Drosophila melanogaster: one gene and its partners. The protein of the gene in region 3 interacts with the protein of the main gene of each other region in a pairwise test. Each region holds a gene or a part of one and is shown on either strand. Other genes may lie near its edges.

Region 1 (9,902 bases), on a different chromosome or scaffold from region 3:
CTGGACGTGGACATCCTGATCACGGGGCACACGTACAAGTTCGAGGCCTACGAGCACGGCAACAAATTCTACATCAATCCGGGATCGGCCACGGGTGCCTTCAACCCACTGGACACCAATGTGGTGCCTTCGTTCGTGCTGATGGACATTCAGAGCACCACGGTGGTCACGTACGTGTACCAACTGATCGGCGACGAGGTCAAAGTGGAGCGCATCGAGTACAAGAAGATCTAGGGTCCTAGTATTAGCCACCAGCCATTCCCCTCCAATCCAACCCTTGACCCCTGCATTCTGAGCTCGGCTTCATTAAAGAAATTGTAAATGTACGTAGCAATAAATCAAGTTCTCATTTTTTTATCTGATAAAAAATGCTAGCACCTTGTTTAAATAGAGAATAAAAGTACGAACGGACGAAAGTGAAGTTTTAGATTTAATGCAATAATAAACGATTACAAAGTAAGGAAAAACACCCCCAGAAATTGTGATACTCCCACAATAATCTGATAAAAAAGTTTAAATTTTATTAAATAGAATATAAAAAGGAGTTACATCTGATGATCGAGTAAAGAGTCTGCTCAAAAGTTCGGATTTCATGCTCAGTTTCTCATTGCAACACACTCTCGATATAAATACATTGGGTTCGGTTTGTGGCCATCGCTTTTCCATCGAAATAAATTATATAAATACTTTCCACGAGCCAGGACAGCAATGTTTGGCAACATCATCAATACGAAATGTTTGATCTAAAAATCTTTGAATTACGAAAACTTTGCACTTAGATTAAATACAATTATGATTGCTGCTGACGACAGTTGGAAAAGCAACGAACAGGATCCCCGAGGAGGAGAACCGCCTTAGCCGAGGCTGTCCACGCACACAGTCTTCAGGGTCTTGCCGGCAATCGTGGTCTTATACTGCTCCGGTAAAGCCAACTCGGTCTGGAAATCACAAAAAAAATAAATAAATGACTGAAGACAAGAGACAAATTTTTGAACTCACATAATCGCCGCTGTCGTCGGGCAACAGGATGTTCATCTCCGAGGACTTGGAGTTGACGATCTCCACGCCCAGCGAGTCCTTGGACAGATACATCTGGCAGCCGTCGGTCTTGTCGATCGATACCGTCGGCACCGAGCCGAGCACCTGCATCTGCACGCTCTGGCAGTTGACGAACTCCACGGAGGCCACCACGGAATCGAACAGCAGGGAGCACTTCTTGCAGGAGTCGAAGACGATGTTGTTCACCTTGCCCTTGACGGTCAGAGTGGATCCCTCACACTTGAACACATACACCACGTTGTTCATCTCGGCGTTCTCCACCAACAGCCCGGTGTTGTTCTTCTGGTACTCGATGATCCACTTCTTTCCGTCGCGCTCGAAAACGGGCGCCTTGGCTTGCGCAGCTGATGGAGCAGCAACGGCCTTGCTGCCGCCCGACTGGGCTGGCGATTTGAACGGAGCCGGTCCAGTGCGTAGAGATGGATTTTTATGGGTCTGCATGTCGCCAGTGACCTTCTTCAAGCCTGCGGGTTTATCAAAAGATACATTTTCTTACTATAGGAGCACTTAACCATTTTTGCAGTTGCTGCTCACCCTTGGTGATGTCGGCACCCTGGTTGATCTGGGCGAAGAGGGCGCTGCGATCATCTCCGGCGCTATCCAGCTTGAGGGCACTCAGATCCAGCATGGGCGGCGGTGGGGGCAGACCACCGGGTGGCGGTGGTGGCGGGGCACCTCCGGCGGGGGCCGCTCCCTTGCCGGACCACACCAAGCCCGTGGTGTGGTACTGCCGGATGTAGGCCTGCAGTTCGGTGAGCGTCTGCACCCAGGCGCGGGCCCACTCCACATGCGTAACATCCTTCTCCTTCCACTCCTTGAGCACGCGGTTCGTGTAGAACTGGCCGGCGTCGTTCATCTCCTTGACATAGGGACCCGGGGTCTTCTCCACGCACACCCAGCCCAAGGCGGGAATGCTTTCGCTGATGGCCGACAGGTGGTTGAAGAAGGGCGAGGAGCGGTGCTTCTCGCGGAAGTCCTGGATGGCGCTGATCTGCGTCGAGGTCGGCTTCAGAAGCTCCGCCTGCTTGGGCTGCGCCGGCTGGGCGATCTGGGTGGCCAGCGTCACGTACTGCAGTTGGGAGCTGTTGCGGAATTGAACGATGGCATTATTACACTTTTACCATAGATGACTCATCCAGACTGACTCACCCAAAGGCGCTCTTCACGAGCTCCGCATGCTGCGCCACATCGCCGCCAATTTTGGCGGAGAGAGTTAGGTATTGGCTCAGCGGACCCGCCACAATGTCCTCGAATCCGGCGACACTCATGTTGCTGCTGGGCGGCGAGGGAGGTGGAGGTGGTGTCTCTGCTTTTTCAAAAACTGGAAGAGCTTCTTCTTCTTCGGCTGGCGGAGGCGGGAGTGTGGGCGTGGGCAGTTCTATCGGCTGTGGCGCTGTTAGAGTCCGTTCCAATCGGTCGACGAGGGTCTCCAGTCGCTCGCAAATGCTCTCCAAGTGGTCGACGGCGGCCGAGGGCTTGGCTTCCGGCTCGTTATCTGAACCAAAATGACGCGGAGGAGAACGGCAAATGTTTAGTTCGTTTTGGCAATTATCTCGAATTATTCAAATAACACTGAGTTTTATAAAGAAAATAACTTGAGTGAGATGATGCTTCAGCGTGATAAACCCCAGTGAATCGTGCACTCACAATACCTGACAAAAAAGGCGATATAAACTAAGGCGTCTCGAGAGGAATACCTCATCACGAGCTTGTGTATGATGATGAACTGGTGCGCTTAATACTTATAAAGTTCAATATGCAAAAAGAGCTAATCCCAACGAGTGAAAGTAATAATCCACATGCAAAAACGGCACAAGACAACGAAAAATCATAAGAGAGAAGAACTAAGTTGAACCTTTAAACGGAAGCACTTGACTTGCGAACTTATTGGCCATCAGGAAGTTACGTGAATCGCTAGACTCTCAAAACTTCTTCACAGCGAAAACGAACACATAAAGAACACAGAAAGTCAAGCATCCGCTTAAATAACTGCTGAGATCGAAAAAAAAAAGCAAAAGAATCGGACTCTATCGAAGCTCGCATACCCCGCACGGCCACGCTATGCTCCACAGCCGCATGGGCGGCCCGCAGGAGCTCCGTGTAGAGACGCTGGCGCTTCAGCTCCAGCTCGTCGCGTCCCACCGGCGTGACCGGGGGCTCGATGCAGCCGCTGGACATGGAACGAGGACAGAGGAGACGATGTACTGGCAATTCAAAGCGGGGCTGGGAATGCAGGGGTCGACCTGTTCTGGTTTCAGCTTAACTATATGGATATTTTGGGCGTGAAACCAAAACAGGATCTTGGGTAAGCATACATGTCGTTCAGGCGCTCGTCGTCGAACCACGAGGGTAATCCGTGGGCAAAGAAGAGTGTTTCCGAGACGACATCCCCCTCGATGTAGGGTGCACACATGCTCTCCCGCTTGGGTGGCGGCAGTGAGTCGGAGAACACCTCGTCGTCGTCCAGCAAGGAGCCCTGATTCTGGCTGGCCAGCAGGAGCAGTGGCAGTGGATCCGGCTCGATGATCTCCGCCCGGTTGCTGATATTCACCTTCTTCTTGATCGACTGATGCGTTGAGTTGTGCCTGGACAGGCAGCTCTTGGTGGGCGGCGGCTGAGGAGGCGGTGTGGTCGGCGTGACCGTCGCCACCACCACCACTTCGTCCGCCTCCTCCGCGTCGCCGCTGGTCATCGAAGCAGGTGGTGCCGTGGATGTGGAAGAGTGCGTTGAGCGGGCCAGTGGCTCCGGTTCTTTGGGTGCTAGTGCTGGATTTGCTGGTGATGATTTGCTAGCCGCTTCAGCCTGAGTTGGTTGGGCTGTGGAAGTGTTGCTTAAGATTACTCTACATGAAGCGACGAATTACCAAGACGATCATCAAGGAAAGCGCCGATACTTAAGTTGATTACTTCACTTCACTCTCTGCTCACCTCGCTTCCTGTCTTCATTATGTTTATTTATCGCATTTAAAAGCATTTACCATGGTCACTGGCAGATTGAGTAGTTAGTTTTTACTGCTCACCTTATTATTATAGAATCTATAGAATCTTGAATTTTCTGTCTAAATTATTGACCTTCATTTTAGTTTCTATATTCGTCACTACTATATACTATACGTTCACTTTGATGGATGAGCACGATCTAAGTGCTCAACAAAAAGTGTGTATGCAATGTCATTAGCTATTCCTCATTAATCAACTGAGAATCGGCGCAATTCCTTGATATTCATATGTATAAAATTCACAGAAATAAACCGAAGAGAAAGCACAGTGAAGACAACTCATAAGTAAATAGAAAAGGACACTCAAGGCAGCTTGAAGTGCCCGGATTGAAATGAAAGGAAAGATCAGAAGTGGTGGTCAGCTGCAGTGGCATTGCAGTGAGTGAGAGCCGGCCGGATAGGGGCCTTCGTTCCGGAGAGCAGACAAAAGCCGAGACAGCTGTTGAGCTCGAAGGCCGGAGAACGCGAATAGATGGGGTGGTGGGTAAATACTTAGCGTTGCGTCAGTACCAGTGTTTGGCTGGGTGCTTGTGGGCACATCCTCGGGATTATGCGCTTCCAAGAGCTCCTTTTCTGGTTTCACAGGCTCTGGCTCCTCCTTCGGAGTTCCTGGCTTGCCGTTCAGCTGGGGTTCCTCCTTTTCGGTGACCTGTCCGCCGTTCTCCTCCTCTGCGTTCCGCTTTTCCTTCTCCTTCTTGCCCGCCTTGGGGTTCGATCGGCAGCAGGAGAACATTTTGCAGGCGTGTGGCTGGGCTTTTCCGGTGCTCAACACTCTAGGTACGAATCAAGCACATTATGTAAGTTCCGTGGCTCGACTGCGGATGCCCGTGAAGCTCAAGCGGCGGTCACAACACTGACGGCACACCAAACCAAATCGAATCAGTAGAAGCAGTAACAGCAGCAGCCATATAAGACACTCAACGGGTTTCCAACGAACGTGGCCACTCCTTGCTCACTGTGTACATATATTCAGTGTATGGCCCAAATTTAGTGGCACATTAATAAGGTCCTCCGAGTTGTCCGCGCCTTCAACTGGGTCAAGTGACTGCCGACCAAGCACAGAACCAAATGGCACACAAATGCGATTACACACGGAGAACAGAACACACCCTAAACGAAGCGCACGCCCACGCACTCGGGGATTCGATTCGATTTCGAACTCGAACTCGAAGGTCTCAACAGGACTCTGTTAGGAGAGCTCCGCGCTGTTAACTGCTGAGTTTCGCCGCCTTGTTGGGCTACTCCGCGCTGCTTTTGACCATTTGGGGCCAGCCACCGACTGGCAATGAAATGTGTTTCATTAATAACCGCTTTTGGCCTGACATGCAGGATTTTGTGCAAGCTCCGGCGATGTCTTGCACTTTTGCAGCAGAGAAAGCTTACGGTCCAGGCGGAAAATGGAAAACTCTCCGAGAGAGTTGCGCAGACACCACTGTGATTTCGTGATACCCTTCTCGCCACGGGTGGCGCGACTTAAGTGAGGGAAAACCACGGCGATCCCATAGTTTTATCAGCCCTGTAAGGCAGGGTTCGCCTATCAATTAGTTGTGACAACACCGAGTTATCTTTACTATTTGGAAAGTTTCCAGGAATGATCGGTAATGAAACTATGATTCCATTTTGAGCATTACCATAACGTTTGTAAGCCATAGAGAGTAGAGAGATGCAATGATCATATCTTAGCCGGCTATAAAAACAGTTTTAAAATGTTCAGCTTTTTGTGAAGTAATCTGCCGCAGAAGAGTATAAAAACGTCGACGTAACTGAAACTCCCATATCGTTTGCTTGCCAGTTTTTGTTTTGGCCTTAGTGCAATGGGTTTATTGCACCGGCAACGTTGTTTTTGTTTTTAAGTAGCTTTAAACAAATGGCTGGCAATTAGAGTGGGAAATGCATCAGTAGCCGTTGGATTGGAGGGAGGGGCTAAGCCGCCGAGGACAAGTAAGCCGAGATTCAACTTTCGCCTGGCGATACTAGTTCTCCTTGCAGTCTTGATGCGTTTTCTGCGGCAGATGCGTTTGTTGCGTGCAGAAAGCAAAGAAGAAATGGGGAAGAAAAACTAGAAACCAAGATTAAATGTCTGCAGCTGAGGAACCGTTATTCCCGCTGCGAGAGTGTGAGTGAGCTCGAATTACCAGGGGTGGGGGGTGTTCGTAATGGTAGAAGAAAAATCGCCCACCTTATAAGGCGAGGTGTTATTTTCTTCCACCGAAATCGAGTGAGTGGTAATATCTGCCGATTTTCAATCGCGATTCGCTGATAAAAGCGTTTTGGCCAACTTTTTGACTCATTCGCGCACGAATACAAGCAAACGTGTTTGCTCTTGCGTAAACTACATACATGCATACATACATATGCATATCAACTATGTGTCTGTGAGTCAGCGAAACAAAAACAAAAAATGGCCACAACAGCTGAGTAGTTACTTTTTTTTATCGGGGGTTAACAATCGCAATGGGAGCTGCTAAGGGTTAATTTGCATACACTTGCTGGCAATGAATTAGTTGTGTCTTTATGCCATGGAATCGGATATGAAATCATCGTTAAAAATACACCATGTAGATTTAATTTTACAAGCAACATGAATCACACAAAAATAGCCATCACACAGCTGTCTCTTGTCTTTTTGGCTCTCTTCGCTGTTGTTGTTGTTGTGTGTGTACAAACACCCACAGCCTGCATCACACACACACGCTCAAATTCGTGACAGCACCACCCACCCCTCACCAATAACCGTTAATTCCGCAGACACTTTCAGCCGGCGAACGGGAGAAGAGAATTTGCGAATAATAGCAAAGCCCCGTTTAAATGAACGTTTTTAGCAACAATCAGGCGTTACTCACCTTCTTTTGCTGCTGATGAATTTGCAAGGATCTGCAGTTGTATTCCAATTAGAACTGACGAGAAGCTGCGTAGCGAACACCGGCGAAATGGCGAAAATAATAACTTGGCGTGGCCTTTGGTGGGACCAGGCGTACATTCGTGGAAATAGTCAAGCGAGTTAACCCTTATGTGGGTGGCAGAATACTAAAAATATATGATACAACAAATTTTAGACTTAAGAAAACGGATGTTTAAATGTATAAAATATGATGGAAGTGCAATAGCCAAGCTTATAAACTAATTCTTAAATTATTTGCAATGCATTTAGGACTTTTCGATATACACGTAAATAAACTATATTTTGATTGAACACGGTACATTTCTACTAGAGTTCACCTTCAGATATTGACGCTATTTCTTGTCCTGTAAATTATTTTGTTAAATCGTTCACATTGTATGTCTAATAAAGATGTTTTCCAATAAAATGTTATTCCCTTTTCACTTAGTCTAACATATTCATTAAATAATCAATGTTTTATTTTTTATTTAGTTATTTTAATTAGTTCTTAATTATAAAACTGCTCTAGATTCTCGATATTTTGCGGAATCCGGCGCATGGTCACACTGACGAACACGTATTTTCATTATTCTTGCGAAGCGCATCGCTTAAAACTTGATTACGCTCGGATAACAAGATGCACCCGCGTCTCAAGTGACTGAACAGGTAGCGAAGTGACCCTGGATGAGCGTGGGTAGGCAGCCGGCACCTCTGGAAAGCCCTAATCCCAGGTCCGCCAGCCGTTTGCAGGTTATGTCCGCTTGTGTACACTGTGACGGGGAACCGAAGAAGCAACAGGAGCGGATTCCTGGCAGAAGAGACAACCGCTGTACGAGATACCGCCCCTGACCTGCGCAACATGATCGAGGTGCTGTGCCTGCTGCTGGGCAGGATCCTGCTGCTCCTGGTCGGCGGCTACGAACTGATGTGGCGGCTCCGAGAGCGACTGAATGCACTGGCCGTCCGGTCATATGACCTTTGGCGCAGCAAAGCGGCACGTGAGGCGCACGAGCGGCGCGTGCTCGCTGACTGCCGCTCCCAGTTGACGAAGACGCCGCAGCATCTGGTCCTGGTTATCTCCCCCGTAGATGCCGGCGTGGATGCGGTGCTCCTCAGCAGGATCTTCGACTTTGCCCTGGACGTGGGCATCAAACACGTCAGCCTGTACGACAGGCGGACGAAAGGCAGGGGATACGTGGACATGGCCGATCTCTGTCGATCCACCAACGCGGACACGGGCAGCTGCTTAAAGTGGCCACCCGTAGCCAGTCCCAGCAAACTGGAGAACCAGCCCAAAAACGGACAAAAGACAAATGGTTATGTGAACGGTTCACATTCCCCTCAACTGCAGGTGAGTGGCGGCGTCTGATAAGCCGTGATTAGTAATGGACTTTAGAACGATGTCGGAAAATGTCTTACAAGTATTACACTTTTTGTTTCAATTGTTAAATAAAAGAAGTAATGAGCTGGAGATTTAATTTAGTTCATCATTCACATGAGATACAAAAAATTCTTCGTGCTGAGAACCAGTTTTACCTTTGTATCCATTAAAACCTATGTATAGCAACGTAATCGATTCCCGGAACTAGTCGTTGCCTTATCAGTTTCTAATTGACTTTTCGGCTTCGGCGTCTTTCAGCTCCATCAAATCAGCGCCTCCGACGGCCATGCCCTGATCGCCGACGTCTGCCGCGAGTTGTACGAAGACAGTAAGACGGAGTTGGTGCAGAGCCTACTTAAGCAGAAGCGCGAAGCGCTGACGGAGCAGATCAGCGACATGCTGAGCAAGCGACTCGGGTTCGAGGCCCCGGAGCCGGAGCTGGGCATCGTGTTCGCCCGGCAGACGTGCACCTACGGCCTGCTTCCCTGGCACGCGCGCTTCACCGAGTTCCACACGCATCCCAGCGGACGCCACTTCGACGTGGAGACGTTCGCCAGCATCCTGTGCAAGTACTCGCGGTGCGAGCAGCGGTGGGGCACGTAGGCACATCGTTCGCGTGGGTAGCGACACCCTTATATTAACTAGTTACCTTAACATTATGTAAATTATCGCCAGGAATTCCTTTTAGTTCGTAAGAGTAAACTGCAAAAGTGTATTGTTCACATGAAAGTGTCTTTTGCTGGAGAGGATCGCGCGTTTCTAATGGCGGTGCAACGCAGCAGCTCGTATCTTGTACATAATATTCGATCTTTATTGAGTGACGTTTTGCTGTGCTTAAGCTTAAGGCGCAACTAGATGAGTATATGTAAGTGGGCAGACTTAAGCGCTATGGTTAAAAGTATTGTATTGCTTTTCGTTCAAGTGTCATCTCCGGCGCTCAGCCGCTCTACTCCCGACCGGGCTCAGCGTGGCGCTTGGACAGGAGATTGACGTCGGTCAGATACGTGTTCTTGTCGATGTTGTGCGGACCGGGACCCGTGGGCATCCGCTCGTGGAGGCCGTGGAAGGAGTTGCGCAGATCCTCGAGGGAGTCGGCCAGGCCCTTCTTGATGCTGGCGAACTCGGTGGACATGAGCGACAGCTTGCCCAGCAGATAGTTGAGGTTCTCGTCCATGTCGATCATGTGTTTCTTGGTCTCCTCCACGCGGCTGCCGAGACCCATCATGGTGATGAGAGTGCTGTTGTTGTAGCCATCGGAAGCGGACTGGATATCTCCGAGCATCAGCCGGCTCTGGCTGATCTCGCCGGCCATGATCTCGATGCGGTGCCACACCTGGTTCAGCTCCGTTTCCAGCAGTCCGCTGATGTTCTTGTTCGCCTCCTGCTGGATGCTCACCACCGCTCCGTCCAGCGACGAGAAGCGCTCCTTCAGCAGTCCGCTCAGCGTGGCCATTTCCTCCGCCAGCAGCTTGCCAACCCGCTGCACCACGTTCAGTGTGCCGAAGTCCACCTTGCGCTGCGTGTCCAGCACGACCTCCGAGTTGGTCATCATGATGTTGTTGAACTTACCGAGCGCTTCGAG
Region 2 (6,342 bases), on a different chromosome or scaffold from region 3:
ATTGGGATATTGATAAGTGATATCATTGTTCCCAAGAAGTGAACGTCTAAACACAAAGGCAGACGGATGAACATTGCTAAATGGACAGGCTTTCTTCTACCTCTTACATACTTCTCAACGAATCACATATACACTATACTATAATGTGTTCACAAAATACCAAAAATGATCAAGGTCTACACTCTAACGATGTGCTGAAGTAGCTGCGCCGCAGAAAGATAAAGCCTAATGTGGAAATACAAATGTAATTGCTTGCAGTTAATTGACCCACATACGATTTCTAGGTAGGTAAAAGATTTTAAGAGATCAGGTGGAAATATTGTAATAGATACCCACATTAAATTTGCAGACATGGGGAAACGCCTCCCTAGTTCTCTCTAACCAATACTTCTAGATAATCCAATTTTGTGTTCACAGCGTGCGACCACTTAAATTGGAACATGAACTCTAACCCTAATTGTCCACGCCTACTTCTAAAAACTAAAACTAAACCATTCTGTAGATAGTACGTAGTAGTCAAAACAAAGAGTTTAACTTTTATATGTATAAACCTGTTTCACGCATGCAAATAATATAAGTTACTGTGTCAGCGACAAAAGGCAACAGGTGAAATTGTCGCCCCAAGTCCATGCTTTTAAATCCCGATCTCTACATCTGTTTTTGTTGCAGCCAAGTCAATGTCAAGTGTTGCTTCGGCTGACTTACTACAAAAGTTAATTGCACTGCACGCACATGCCAAAAGGTAAAAAGAGTCGCGAGCCTCGGCGACAGGCTTCCAAAACCCTGTATATCCACATCACCAGACCTCAGGACCTCAACTTACGACTCTGGCTACGAGGCGCGTGTGTGCAATATCAGGTTTCCGCATCGACTTGCATAGTGATTCGAGGATGTGCGAAAATATGATTTAAATTAAGGGATCATCAGTTTGCAACAGACTATTTGTATACCTTCCTTTTAGAATATATATATATTTTTTATAGAAATATGTAATACTAGTTAAGTCTTCTAAAGGAAATACATTTTTACACGTTAAGATCTTGAGAAGTTCTTTTAATAATAATTATTGTCTGCTATTGAATTTAAATATTTACATTTGGGTTTTAAAAATGTGAATAGTTCAGACAATTGCATTCTGGTTGGATGATACGGCATTGAAATTATTTGTATTTTTTGCCACAGTGCGGAGCAATTGCTACTGTAGTTGTCATTAGTTCTCCGCACTTGCTGTTGTAATTGTGACAGGAGCAACGAGCACGGATTGCTAAAGGGTCGATCTCCAGTTGAAGGTGCACTTGGTTTTCTGTATTCCCGTGGGGAAAGGGGGTTTTGGCATAACTGTCGGCTGGCAGGCTTTCTGCGGTCGTGAGTGCCAGAAGCTGATTTCAGCGCGGCTACCGATAAGCAACCGCTTCCAGGTTTGACAGACGCGTTGATTGGTTTTGTTGGCTGGTGCGCAATATGCGAGACGCTCTTGATTCCATAAGACATGTAAATTACTAAGAGCTCTACAGGAAAACACAATAACTGGTCAACTCTTTTTTTATAATTTGTTTACCTGTTACTCTTAAATTAAAATAATATATATTCGTTTTAAAAATGTAATTTTTCGAAGAAAACATTGTGCCGAAACAGTTACCCAGCATGACTAAGCTCTAAATTCTGTCTTGATAAATGTCTAAAGATAGTTAGAAAGAATAATAAAATATTAATAAATCAATAACTACAAATTATCACATTAAAATGTGCTTTATTAACAATGTATCGGAATAAAAAACGTATTTTCTTTCTCACAGTGTTTCGCTGCTCTCGATGTTCGAGGCCAAAACCGTGGACCATTCATAAATTTTAAGCCAACTCATAAATACGGCAGCAAAGGCTATCAAGGTGTTGGTCTTACAATATCTCGCCGTGATGATGCCAGAAACTTCTTCCTTTCTGATTTAATGCAACGCCAAAACAAATTGTTATATTGGAGCCGCTTGCCTCCAGCAATTAATCAAAGCTCTCGCACTACAATTAATCAAAAATCGCCATCTTTCTTCGTTGAATTTCAAAAGGAGCTTGGCTTTTGCTCCTGGCCATAAATATTATTGCCAGTGGTGATATAAGAAATCGACCAAATAGAATTGGCGGCGTTAAAACGCTCACCTTAGATGTGACATCGTTTCGTTGACATATTCGCGTTGCTCTCATAAATCAGATATTTATATGGAGTGGGAAGTTGGGGGACTCAAAACCAAAACCATGGGCGGCTTTCGTCCTTTCATCGTCCGGAGATCGGTAATCTCTGGATGGCAATTTGATGGCCATGAACAGTTGACAGTTGACTTTTTATTTATTCAGCAGCAACATTTAATTCAATGGCACCTAGGCGTAGGCTCTACAGTTCTAAGCTCCCAATTTTGAAGACCCTAATAAACATGAGTACATACTTTGTACATACTTTTCATTTATCGGCTAGAATACCTGTACGATCAACATTGGTACTGAAATGTACGGAAGCTGTCCTGTAATCGAGGCCTTACTGTGTCGCAAGCATGCCGCTTTAAGAAGTGTGGAATAAATGAAACAACGTCAAGTAATCGGCAGACCGAGTCAATATTAATGACGACTTCATCTTTATTCGGTTGATACGCCATATATTCAGATCTCAGTTCTTCCCCCCTTAAGTTTATCCCGTCACGATTTTTCGGTTTTCTGTCGCAGGGTCTTAGTAACATTTATTGTACTATTTAGTCGTTATCAAGCAGAAAAGCTCAAGAAGAGCACTTGTGGCGCTAAGCGATATTCAAAGCAAAAAATAATAATAAAATTGCAAATTCATAAACCTGGTTGACACTGAATACCTTGTCTCAATGCTTCGCGGCAAATTTATATTACATCAACACGGATTTTGCAAGGTCGACCGGATATGTTTGATTTTATTAGCCTCTGGACATCTGGTATGTCTGTGCTTAGATGCCCTGTGATGTCCTTTTCACATGTAATGCTATGCAATCCCCCGGGGCTACAGCAACGAAGTGTTAAACGAGGCTCAGTGTGAGTTAGTGCCAATACAAATCTATTTCGGCACGGTTTCCTAGCGTGCAACCAGAATTCTGACAATGGTTTTAAGAAATAATGGGGACCTCCTAAATGCTTTCAAAATGCTTTCGGCTGAGAGGAACAACAACTGATACGTTGGGCATAAAGGCCCCGGGGCATTAGAAGTGTTAATAGAAAAGTGCCTCCGGCTGATCAGGTTTCGTTGCAGGACCGAATGGATCGCCGCCTGAGGTGTTGATGAGCTGGCCTTGAAAATTCCTACGACTTTGGATTCGAGCGACAATGGTCTAGTGTTTAAGATAATGTCCGAATGATCCAGGGATCGGAAGGTCATCAGTACATAAAATAAATTAAATTAAATGTATTAACATAAAATTAAAGATTTTTTAAAAGTCTAAAATACCTAGCCTTGTTAATTAAAGATTATTTTTTCGTAAACACTTTTGGTAGTGTATAAATTGTAAATGTCCCCATTTTTATAATTGTAATGACAGTCTATTCCACTAATTTTGTTGTATTTTGTTAGTTATACAAATTGGATGGCCACTTTCAATAGGAGATACAGCTTTTTACTTCGGAGGTGTTTTTACTTGGCTCTGATGTCTGGACCTTGTTGCCTTTTTAAACCGGTTGGCAGCCGGCACGCGACAGGGCCAGGTTTTCGTTTGGGGACGACAGGCAGCTGAAAATGAGCAAAAACACTCAGAAACTCTTCCCACTCGACAACGGGAACACTCAGGTCACCAACAGCTGCGTTTTACAGAGAGAACGAGAGATAATATTACTACCTCTCTATTAAAATCAGAGAAAACACTCATCTCAAGAGACGATCCTTCAGTGATGATGCTGTTGCACCTTTTCCAGGGGCAGGTAGGTAGTCACGCAGGTGGGATCCCTAGGCCCTGATACCTATAAATAGCCTGAACGGAACGGGGAAGGGCATCAGAACAGAGCCAGCGCTGAAGCAAGGAGCATCGTCACACAATAACGTTATACTATCTCTTAAAATGGCTTTGGGCAGCGAAAATCACTCTGTTTTCAACGACGACGAGGAGTCATCTTCGGCCTTTAATGGACCCTCTGTTATCCGGAGAAATGCCCGGGAACGCAACCGCGTAAAGCAGGTCAACAATGGCTTCAGCCAACTACGACAACATATCCCTGCGGCCGTAATAGCCGATTTAAGCAATGGTCGCCGGGGAATTGGTCCCGGCGCCAATAAAAAACTGAGCAAAGTTAGCACACTGAAAATGGCAGTAGAGTACATACGGCGCTTGCAGAAAGTTCTTCATGAAAACGACCAGCAGAAACAGAAACAGTTGCATTTGCAGCAGCAACATTTGCACTTTCAGCAGCAGCAACAGCATCAACACTTATACGCCTGGCACCAAGAGTTGCAGTTGCAATCTCCAACTGGCAGCACAAGTTCCTGCAACAGCATTAGCTCTTATTGCAAGCCAGCAACATCGACGATTCCGGGAGCAACACCTCCTAACAATTTTCATACCAAGTTGGAAGCCAGTTTTGAAGACTACCGTAACAATTCCTGCAGTTCTGGTACTGAAGATGAGGACATCCTCGACTATATATCACTCTGGCAGGACGACCTGTAAAAAAACAGATCAAATCTTCAGCTATTGCTAGTCGCACCCAACCATAACACACATCAAACCATTGATTGGCCAACAAGTATTACCTCAGCCACAAAGTATTTATATTCCCTAGAACTACCTTTTTGCCTTATAAATTAGTATTTAAGGTTTTATATAGTTTCTAAGGATAGTTTCTAATGGAAGACAATTTATATTTAAGTTTTTTTTTATAGCATACATTGAGGACATTAAACTGATATATATAAAATTTTAAATGAGTTTTTATTGTAAACAAAATTAAACGGTAATTAAAGTGAAACAAATTTATGTACAAAAGGAGTAAAATTCAGAAAAGTTTTAATGAACAAATGCTTTATGAATATGGGCGTAGCAATGTTTTGATACAAACTTGATCCTGTCCTGTATACCACAGGACACGCTTCCTTTTACCTGGTACATTCCTTTAAACGATCCTAGTATACGCTTTATTCGGGGTAAGCCCGAAAAAAGTATTCGAAACTGTAACCGTTAAGTATTTACAGATCACTAGCCAATGAAGATAAATTACAATAACATTTTGTAAACACTTTTGATCGAAAACGCCGATTTGCATAAATAAAGTTGGATTGAGTAGGGTGAAAAAGGCAAAATATTTACCTGCTGCATTTTTGCATATGAACCGGTCAAGGTAATAAGATCCTGAGAATTCACAATTCCGGAGAGATCGATCGATCGATCGATGAATGAACTAATTTTGAGTTATTCCCGCAATGCAGCCGAAACAAGCGAAAAAACAACGGTCGGCAATTGTTCAGATCGCCCCCGACAACGTTCAGAAAAATGAAAATAAGATCTGCTCAGGCATTCTGCACCGGAAGCCGCCGCGATGAAGCTGCTGCAAAAAAAACTCACGCAAGATACATATACTCTAAAAACAAAAGAAACATGGTTCATGGGTCTTTTCGGCAAATTCTTCACCATATTAGATCACTACATCACACACCAATCTATTCATTAGCAACAATAAAACACTAATAGAAATTGATAATTTGTATACCTAGTTCTTGTCTATTAATCATAAATATTATACTTTTACATGAACCTGAGTCGTGGAAGGTATACTTTTTAATGAACGTAAGCCGTGGCATATGTATCGAATTATTATTTCCGGCCTTTTCTTGTTTTTGCATTGCACATATATATATTAAAAGAATTGAAAAGCTGAAACCCAAAAACGTAAGCTACACCTAAGTGTCTCGGCTATCAGTTACCCGTTAACATATCCATTATTAATGTAATATTCCTTATATACTTATGCTACATGTACATATGTATATATTTTGTATACATCATTAAGTGCAGGGAGGTAATATATATGATATTTTTATATATATACAGGAAATTCATTTATTAGCGTGGCTTTGGGCCTTCGAACTGATAATTTTAACTTATTTTATGCAATATACACTTAAGAGTCGGAAAAGCTTCCGTCTACCTGTTGCATTATTCTCCACAAATATTGCATACCCTTGAGCCACGGGTATAAAAAGGGTAAAGGCTGTAGGGGCTCTCTTCCCTCCATTGGCGGTCTCAATGGGCGACATACGAACGACACAATGTCTTTGCGACAGCAAACGGTGCAAAATCGAACGCTTTTTGTGTGAAGTTAATAATACGTTTGACATGGCTCCGAAAGGGCGAT
Region 3 (7,146 bases):
ATATTTCTTTATAATTTATAAATATAAAATTCTTTAAAATTAAACTCAACTTTGTTCACTCATTCTTTTATCTATTATGGAGGGCTTGAAAAAAGGCAAGGACTTGTTTTAAAGTCACTCAGTTTTTGTTGAAATATTCCAAGATAGCAGTTTTAGTGTTGATTTCTCAGAAACATATTTAAAAAACTCAAATTCTTATAAACAACAGTGAAAATAGTAGACAAAGTCAGCAAATTTCCCCGTCACATTATTTTTAACGCAAGTCCTTGCATACACAAATTTAAGAAATATAAAATGCGCATAAGTATTAAAAATTTTATTTTGCAATTCAAAATCATTTTGTTTTTTACTCAGACCATAGGCGGGGATTGGCAAACTTCTCTTTCCTTACCTTATTTTATTAAGCTCTGATAATTTTATTAGTTCTAGTTTGCTGACCTTACTACTAAAATATACAAATTAACCAAGTATGTATGACACACGCCATAAAATGTTGATAACTGCCAGAAATCGAAAAGTTATGTGAAAATATTCCTATTTTTAAAGTATTGAAATTGTATTGAACAAATCTACCTATCGATGGATTTGGAAAATACATTTATTTAAAGCCAGCTTCCAGCGTAGAAACCCAAAATATATTGTTTACAGCAATAAAGTTAGTTAGGCATTTGTTGCAGTGACTGAAGTCTATAACGGCCTCCATATATGGACATCGACGATCGACGCATGCGCTCTTCTTACGAATCTACTTTCTGGCTACAGTTCATTAAATTTGGTCAACGCGCTTGTCCAGATCACCAGCAGATTTGCTAGGGATCCCCCAAATGAATTTCTCTACGTTTCAACACCCAAGTGATAATCGGATGGGGCGGGCCGGGCCCCACCTATCAACAAAATCGGGCAAACAATGCCAATTGATGACAACGAAAACTACTCCGAACATTCGTGAGTGAGTCAACATGGCTTTGTTTTGGTCTCGATTTGCAGTGGCCAGTGCGAGTGCGATTGCGGTATTCCTCCACTATTTCCTTATAAGGTAACGCTGATGCAGCTGCTTTTGGCGTTTCACTTGCTTCACTCGCAATCAATCAACGTAAAAATACCGCTTAGACTGGGTGGGGTCGGGTGATAAGCGGAGCGAGTCCAAACTGAATCACACCCTATGCTCAAATGTACATATATCCGATTCGACAGAAACTGCAGGCCATAAACTGGCTTATCAAGGCACTTCCTGCAAACCGATGCTTGCTCCCATCTGACTTAAACACAAAAGCAAAGCATGCCTTATTGGTTAGCGCTTTATCTGACGCCTCCGCCACTGCATGCCAGTGGAATGAGCACATAGCCATCGGAATATCACGGTCTCAGATTGCCTCTTACTCATGCCAGCCAAATGCTAGCTTTTTTGGTGGAAAAAATAATAGAATAATACAAAAGGAATTTTCAGTTCTTTTCGTCGCTTTATTATTAAGAAGCGGTTACAAGTATTTTAGTGGTATGGTAAGTTTGCTTTTAATACATATGTAGGAATGCATGGAAGTAATGTAAATGCCAAACATGAATCAGTTTTATAAATGCTTATGTGCATATGAACTTGAATTTCGAATAGAACACAATATGGTTTGCTTATGCGTCGTGTACAACTGTGTATAAAAGTGAATGGAATGCATTCTTCTGAAGGAGCGGAAGTGTTGTGCGCCTGCTCCCGGTATTAATGTACTCATGCCCAATACTTTTGACTCCCATCCTTTGTCTGCAATGGGTGTGTTCGATGAGGAACGACCACGCCCAGCCCGACTACTGCTTAGAAGCACTTGCGGTGAACAATGGAGGGGCCCGACTCGTCGTACTCTTGCTTCGAGATCCACATCTGCTGGAAAGTAGACAGCGAAGCCAGGATGGAGCCGCCGATCCAAACAGAGTACTTGCGTTCTGGCGGGGCAACAATCTTAATCTTCATGGTGGACGGAGCCAACGCCGTGATTTCCTTTTGCATGCGGTCAGCGATTCCCGGGTACATGGTGGTGCCGCCGGACAGCACAGTGTTGGCGTACAGATCCTTACGGATGTCGACGTCACACTTCATGATTGAGTTGTAGGTGGTCTCGTGAATGCCACAGGCCTCCATGCCGAGGAACGACGGCTGGAACAGCGATTCGGGGCAACGGAATCGCTCATTTCCGATGGTGATGACCTGTCCATCGGGCAACTCGTACGACTTCTCCAGGGACGAGCTTGAAGCGGCCGTGGCCATCTCCTGCTCGAAGTCCAAGGCCACGTAGCACAGCTTCTCCTTGATGTCGCGCACAATTTCACGCTCGGCGGTGGTGGTGAAGCTGTAACCGCGCTCAGTAAGAATCTTCATCAGGTAGTCGGTTAAATCGCGACCGGCTAGATCCAAACGGAGGATGGCGTGCGGCAGGGCGTAGCCCTCATAAATGGGCACAGTATGGGAGACACCGTCGCCGGAGTCCAACACGATACCTGTGGTACGGCCGGAGGCGTAGAGAGAAAGCACCGCCTGGATGGCAACATACATGGCCGGAGTGTTGAAGGTTTCAAACATAATCTGAGTCATCTTCTCGCGATTAGCCTTGGGGTTCAAAGGAGCCTCAGTAAGCAAGACGGGGTGCTCCTCCGGGGCCACACGAAGCTCGTTGTAGAAAGTGTGATGCCAGATCTTCTCCATGTCGTCCCAGTTAGTCACGATACCGTGCTCAATGGGGTACTTCAGGGTAAGGATACCACGTTTGCTCTGTGCCTCATCGCCGACATAAGAGTCCTTTTGTCCCATTCCTACCATTACGCCCTGGTGACGTGGACGGCCGACAATAGAAGGAAAAACTGCACGCGGTGCGTCATCACCGGCAAAGCCGGCTTTGCACATGCCGGATCCGTTGTCGACCACTAAAGCTGCAACCTCTTCGTCACACATTTTGTAGAAATTTTATTTGGATCTGCAAGAGAAAAGAAATCTGGATGTGTACACTAAAAAAACAAGGAGACAGGACAGCGGCTAACGTAAAAAAGAACGCAGACGGGACCGACCCCTTCCAGAAAGGAATAATAATGACCGCACAGACAAAAAAAAGTGTTGGGCAGGAGTCTTACCTTTTATGGAAATATGTAGGAGTAGTTTCTAGTTATCCGCTGCACACACTTAGCACAATGACAGACGCTTTAAGATTGAATTGACCGACGCCTACTTTTTCGAGTTAAAGTGGTTGAAAAGTAGTGTGACCATATACGCATAAAATTATGGTCTTTTTTACTTCCGAAGTGACTCCACCAACAATAAATGTGCGATAAGTTGGAAACGGTGAAGACTGGAGAGCGGACTTTTTTTAAAATTTTTTATTCATTGGTATACTGACGTGTTATCAACAAATTAGAAATGATCTAAGAATCCTTGAAAATGCATTTAAAAATTATGCAGTGTTCTCAAAATTCGACCAAAAGGGTTTTGAAAATACCGCCAAATGCTGTACCTGCACCACAGGGAAATCCATGTTATGAACCGATGTATAGCACTATCATTTCGACGCTAACTTTCAGAATGTATTACACCGTTTACAGAGCGTTTTGCCAAGTGGCCCGGTATCTCAACCTTTTGTTTTTAATTTCATTAACTAGCTGTGAAAGCTTTTGCATTAAGCTATGTAGAGTTTTCCAGGAAGTTGCAATTTCAGAACATATTTCAAAAAGTGTTGTGTGACATGAAATCAGCCTTAAATAACTTTTATATTAAAAGGACATGAATTTAGTTGGATTTTAACAAATATATATATATAAAATACTTAGGTTATTTTTATAATTTGCGTATGTACCTTGCGTACGTATGTGCCTTGCAGCTGAGAATATTTTCTAATGTTGGACAGAAACAGATACAAACAACATTCCCAATAGGGAATTCGCTCTTGATCAACATCTCTAGCCGAGGCGACCTGGCGATGTACTAATGTTAGCATAGACATCAAAGTCTCTGGAACTATATTGGTAGGATGTTAAAACTAATCATGCAAATTCTAGTGACGCCTACTTCGGGCAAGTTTGTTTTATTGTATAACTACGCCACTTTCACTCTAACGTCCACAAGCCACAAAAAACTGGCAAGCCCACAATTTTAAAATGAACTTGTTTTCGATTTCCAATATATGCAATGTATTCATCTAAATATTTTGCAGGAATATAATTTTTTTAATCTTTATTCCACATGTACGCTTCAGAATTGGTTGCTAAAACTGAATAAAGCGAATATCCAGTAATTGGATATCTAATATCCATTATACATTGTCTTTAGCATTCTCCTCTGAGAATAAGTTTTTTTTTCGCATGATTTCAATTGATATTTTTTACAATAACATAATTGTTTATCTCTAATTTAATGAAATAAGTTCGAACGTATCCATTACAGAATCCCTGAAATCTTTATAAGCCGAATATTATTCAGACTAAGAAGTAGCAAGCGTTATTCATAAAGATAACAAATAGCGTTAAAAAATATTGAAATATCTTGCCACATGAAAAACGATCTGTAAATGGTGTAACACATTTAGCAAGTTAACATTGGTATGTTGTTGTACATCGGTTCATGTCACTAATTTGCTTGGTGCGAGTGCTGGAGCTGGCAGTATTTTCAAGTCCCTTTGAGCTGTTCCTACTGTAAGGCGAATTTTCGGAGAGCTGTGCATAATTACTTTATCAATTTTCCAGGATCCTTGCTCTCATAAGCTTTCTCTTTGAGCAACAACAATGTAAACTTAATTTGAAACATGAACCGTCCATTTTAGAACACCCTTAGTCCTAAGTGGATTCCTAAAAATTTTTTTTTATTTTTCTATTACATTATGTATTTAATATATAATTTATATACTTCCAAGACCTAATAAATATTGGGAGTTCCAAATCAAAACATTCTTCGATCGCTACTAACTAAAAATGGTAATTGAATGCTTTGTGTATTTTTAATCCGTTTTTTTAAGCAAAAGATTATTGAGTAATTTTTATAATTTCAACACGTGATAACTTAATATTTCTAAGTAACTTATTTCCTATTTAAAGCAATTGTTGAAATTTAGAGATTTCTTACCTTTTTTAAAATGTCTATAAAAAGGAGATCCAAGCTCTATTTTTCGTGCATAAATTTGTTGTGCATCCCCACAGGAAAAGAACATGTACGCTAGTGGAATCCGGCTGGCTTCATTCAACAAAAAAAAACCTAAAAAACACCTCTTTTGTTATCGCTTGAAGTTCGCTAAACTAATCGCGTTTTCCAACACCATAACCCTTTGTGTCTGCATGATTGTCATCCGCCGGCCACCCCTACTAACGACGAAACCAATCTGATAGTGGCAGCTGGTCATCAACATGGTGGACATAAACTTGGAGTGCGTGCACCAGATCGAACCGAAGACCCGTTCTGCTGGTCAGCAGCAGCAGGAGCGAGGGTTAAAGGAAGCCTACCTGGAAGCGGTCCGCATTCTGTTAGTGCTGCTGGAGAACATCTTGGCGCAGCCGGAGAACTCCATGTTCCGCACCATACGGCAGGAAAACAAAGCTATTAAAGAAAAGCTGCTGTCCTTGCCCGGCTGTGAGAGGTTACTGGAAGCCATAGGCTTCGTACGCGCCCCCAGTTCCAACGCCTACACCTTGCCCACAGAGGTGTCACTGCAGCAGGTGAAGAAGTACAGAGATGCGCTGAGCGAGAGACGCACTGCCTGGCTTAACGGCACAGTGTCAAAAAGTAAGCTTTGGGGGCAAGACTGACATCCTAATCATCATGTCTCGGATTTTAATAGGTCCTCCTCAACAAAGCACCACCAGCACCACGCCCTTGTTCATCAAGCCTTCTGTGGAATATCGCCATAGAATCGCCTTCCCCCGTGTATTGGTAAGCCAGCCATCGAACAAGATAGACCTCTGCTGTATTCTGATGTGGAAGCTTGTTTTCAGCGCACCAATAATAACTTTCTGCAGTCGCTAGAGCTTTATTCCGATGCAGTCATGCAGTACGAGGATAACCTGCTGCTGGCTACTGGCCGCACTCTGATTCCTGTGGAAGAGCTCACCGAAATGGCAAGCGAGAAACTGATAGACATCCAAGATCAAATTGCGTCGGGTGAGCGCCAGGAGAAGGAGCCATGTGTTCGCGACTTGCTGCTTGTGGAGCTGGTAAACTGGTTCAACACGCAGTTCTTCCAGTGGGTAAACAATATACCTTGCCGCGTGTGTGGGAGTGAAGAGAGCAGGCTGCGCCGCACTGAACGGGAAGGTGATATAAGGGTGGAAGTCACCGTTTGCTGCGGCCAGGAGAGCAAGTTCTACCGCTATAACGACATTTCCCAGCTCCTAGTTTCCCGTAAGGGCCGTTGCGGAGAATATGCCAATTGCTTCACATTCCTCTGTCGCGCCCTCGACTACGACGCCCGTATTGTCCACTCGCATTTTGATCACGTCTGGACCGAGGTGTACTCCGAGGCCCAGATGCGTTGGCTCCATGTTGACCCCTCCGAGAACGTTATAGATTCTCCGCTGATGTATCAGCATGGCTGGAAACGTCACATCGACTACATTCTTGCATACTCTAGGGACGACATCCAAGATGTGACTTGGCGCTATACTAATGACCACCAGAAGATTCTACACCTACGAAAGCTGTGCGGGGAAAAAGAAATGGTGCAAACGCTGGACGCGATTCGAGCAAAGCGGCGGCAAAATTGCACCGCCGATCGAAAGTTATTCCTCAGCCAGCGCAATATGTACGAGGTCATCGGCTTGACGCTAGAGCGGTAAGCATTTACAGGAAACTGTTCGAAATTAAATTTAATCCCGTTTCCTGTTTAGTAAGCCGACAGAAAACGAGCTGAAGGGTCGGAGTTCGGGAAGTCTTTCTTGGCGGCAGTCACGTGGAGAGCATACTTTTACCAATGTAAGTGATCTGGCCTGAGACGCGCTGCCGGCCGTTTGTCACCTTTCATGTATTTACAGATATTCGTTTTCAATCTAAGTGCAACCGAACTACAAAAAAGGCAACTTAATGTGCGTTACAGCTGTGCCACCGATACATACGAACGATATGCCAAAGGCGAGTCATGAATTTATTTACAGCACTATGAATGCTTTTAACTTTTATATCCATAGAAGGAG

The links.
Region 1: the proteins of Act42A (region 3) and capt interact in a two-hybrid assay, tested with the Drosophila melanogaster proteins (2 studies listed by BioGRID).
Region 2: the proteins of Act42A (region 3) and ac interact in a two-hybrid assay, tested with the Drosophila melanogaster proteins (one study listed by BioGRID).

The regions. Positions count from the first base shown.
Region 1 is NT_033779.5:1,151,178-1,161,079, forward strand, and holds capt (capulet), read right to left. Parts: upstream 5,135-9,902; 5' UTR 4,792-5,134; coding exon 4,569-4,791; intron 3,877-4,568; coding exon 3,375-3,876; intron 3,230-3,374; coding exon 3,105-3,229; intron 2,555-3,104; coding exon 2,209-2,554; intron 2,142-2,208; coding exon 1,594-2,141; intron 1,524-1,593; coding exon 1,000-1,523; intron 939-999; coding exon 855-938; 3' UTR 501-854; downstream 1-500. Other genes in the region: Vps29 (vacuolar protein sorting 29), read left to right, coding at 1-234; Tango14 (transport and golgi organization 14), read left to right, coding at 7,799-8,290, 8,579-8,923; CG5080 (uncharacterized protein), read right to left, coding at 9,267-9,902.
Region 2 is NC_004354.4:366,039-372,380, forward strand, and holds ac (achaete), read left to right. Parts: upstream 1-3,992; 5' UTR 3,993-4,055; coding exon 4,056-4,661; 3' UTR 4,662-4,909; downstream 4,910-6,342. UniProt on the Drosophila melanogaster protein: AS-C proteins are involved in the determination of the neuronal precursors in the peripheral nervous system and the central nervous system.
Region 3 is NT_033778.4:6,012,466-6,019,611, forward strand, and holds Act42A (actin 42A), read right to left. Parts: upstream 3,225-7,146; 5' UTR 3,112-3,224; intron 2,958-3,111; 5' UTR 2,936-2,957; coding exon 1,805-2,935; 3' UTR 1,445-1,804; downstream 1-1,444. Other genes in the region: Pngl (PNGase-like), read left to right, coding at 5,368-5,743, 5,799-5,890, 5,953-6,788, 6,844-6,928, 6,988-7,084, 7,141-7,146. UniProt on the Drosophila melanogaster protein: Actins are highly conserved proteins that are involved in various types of cell motility and are ubiquitously expressed in all eukaryotic cells.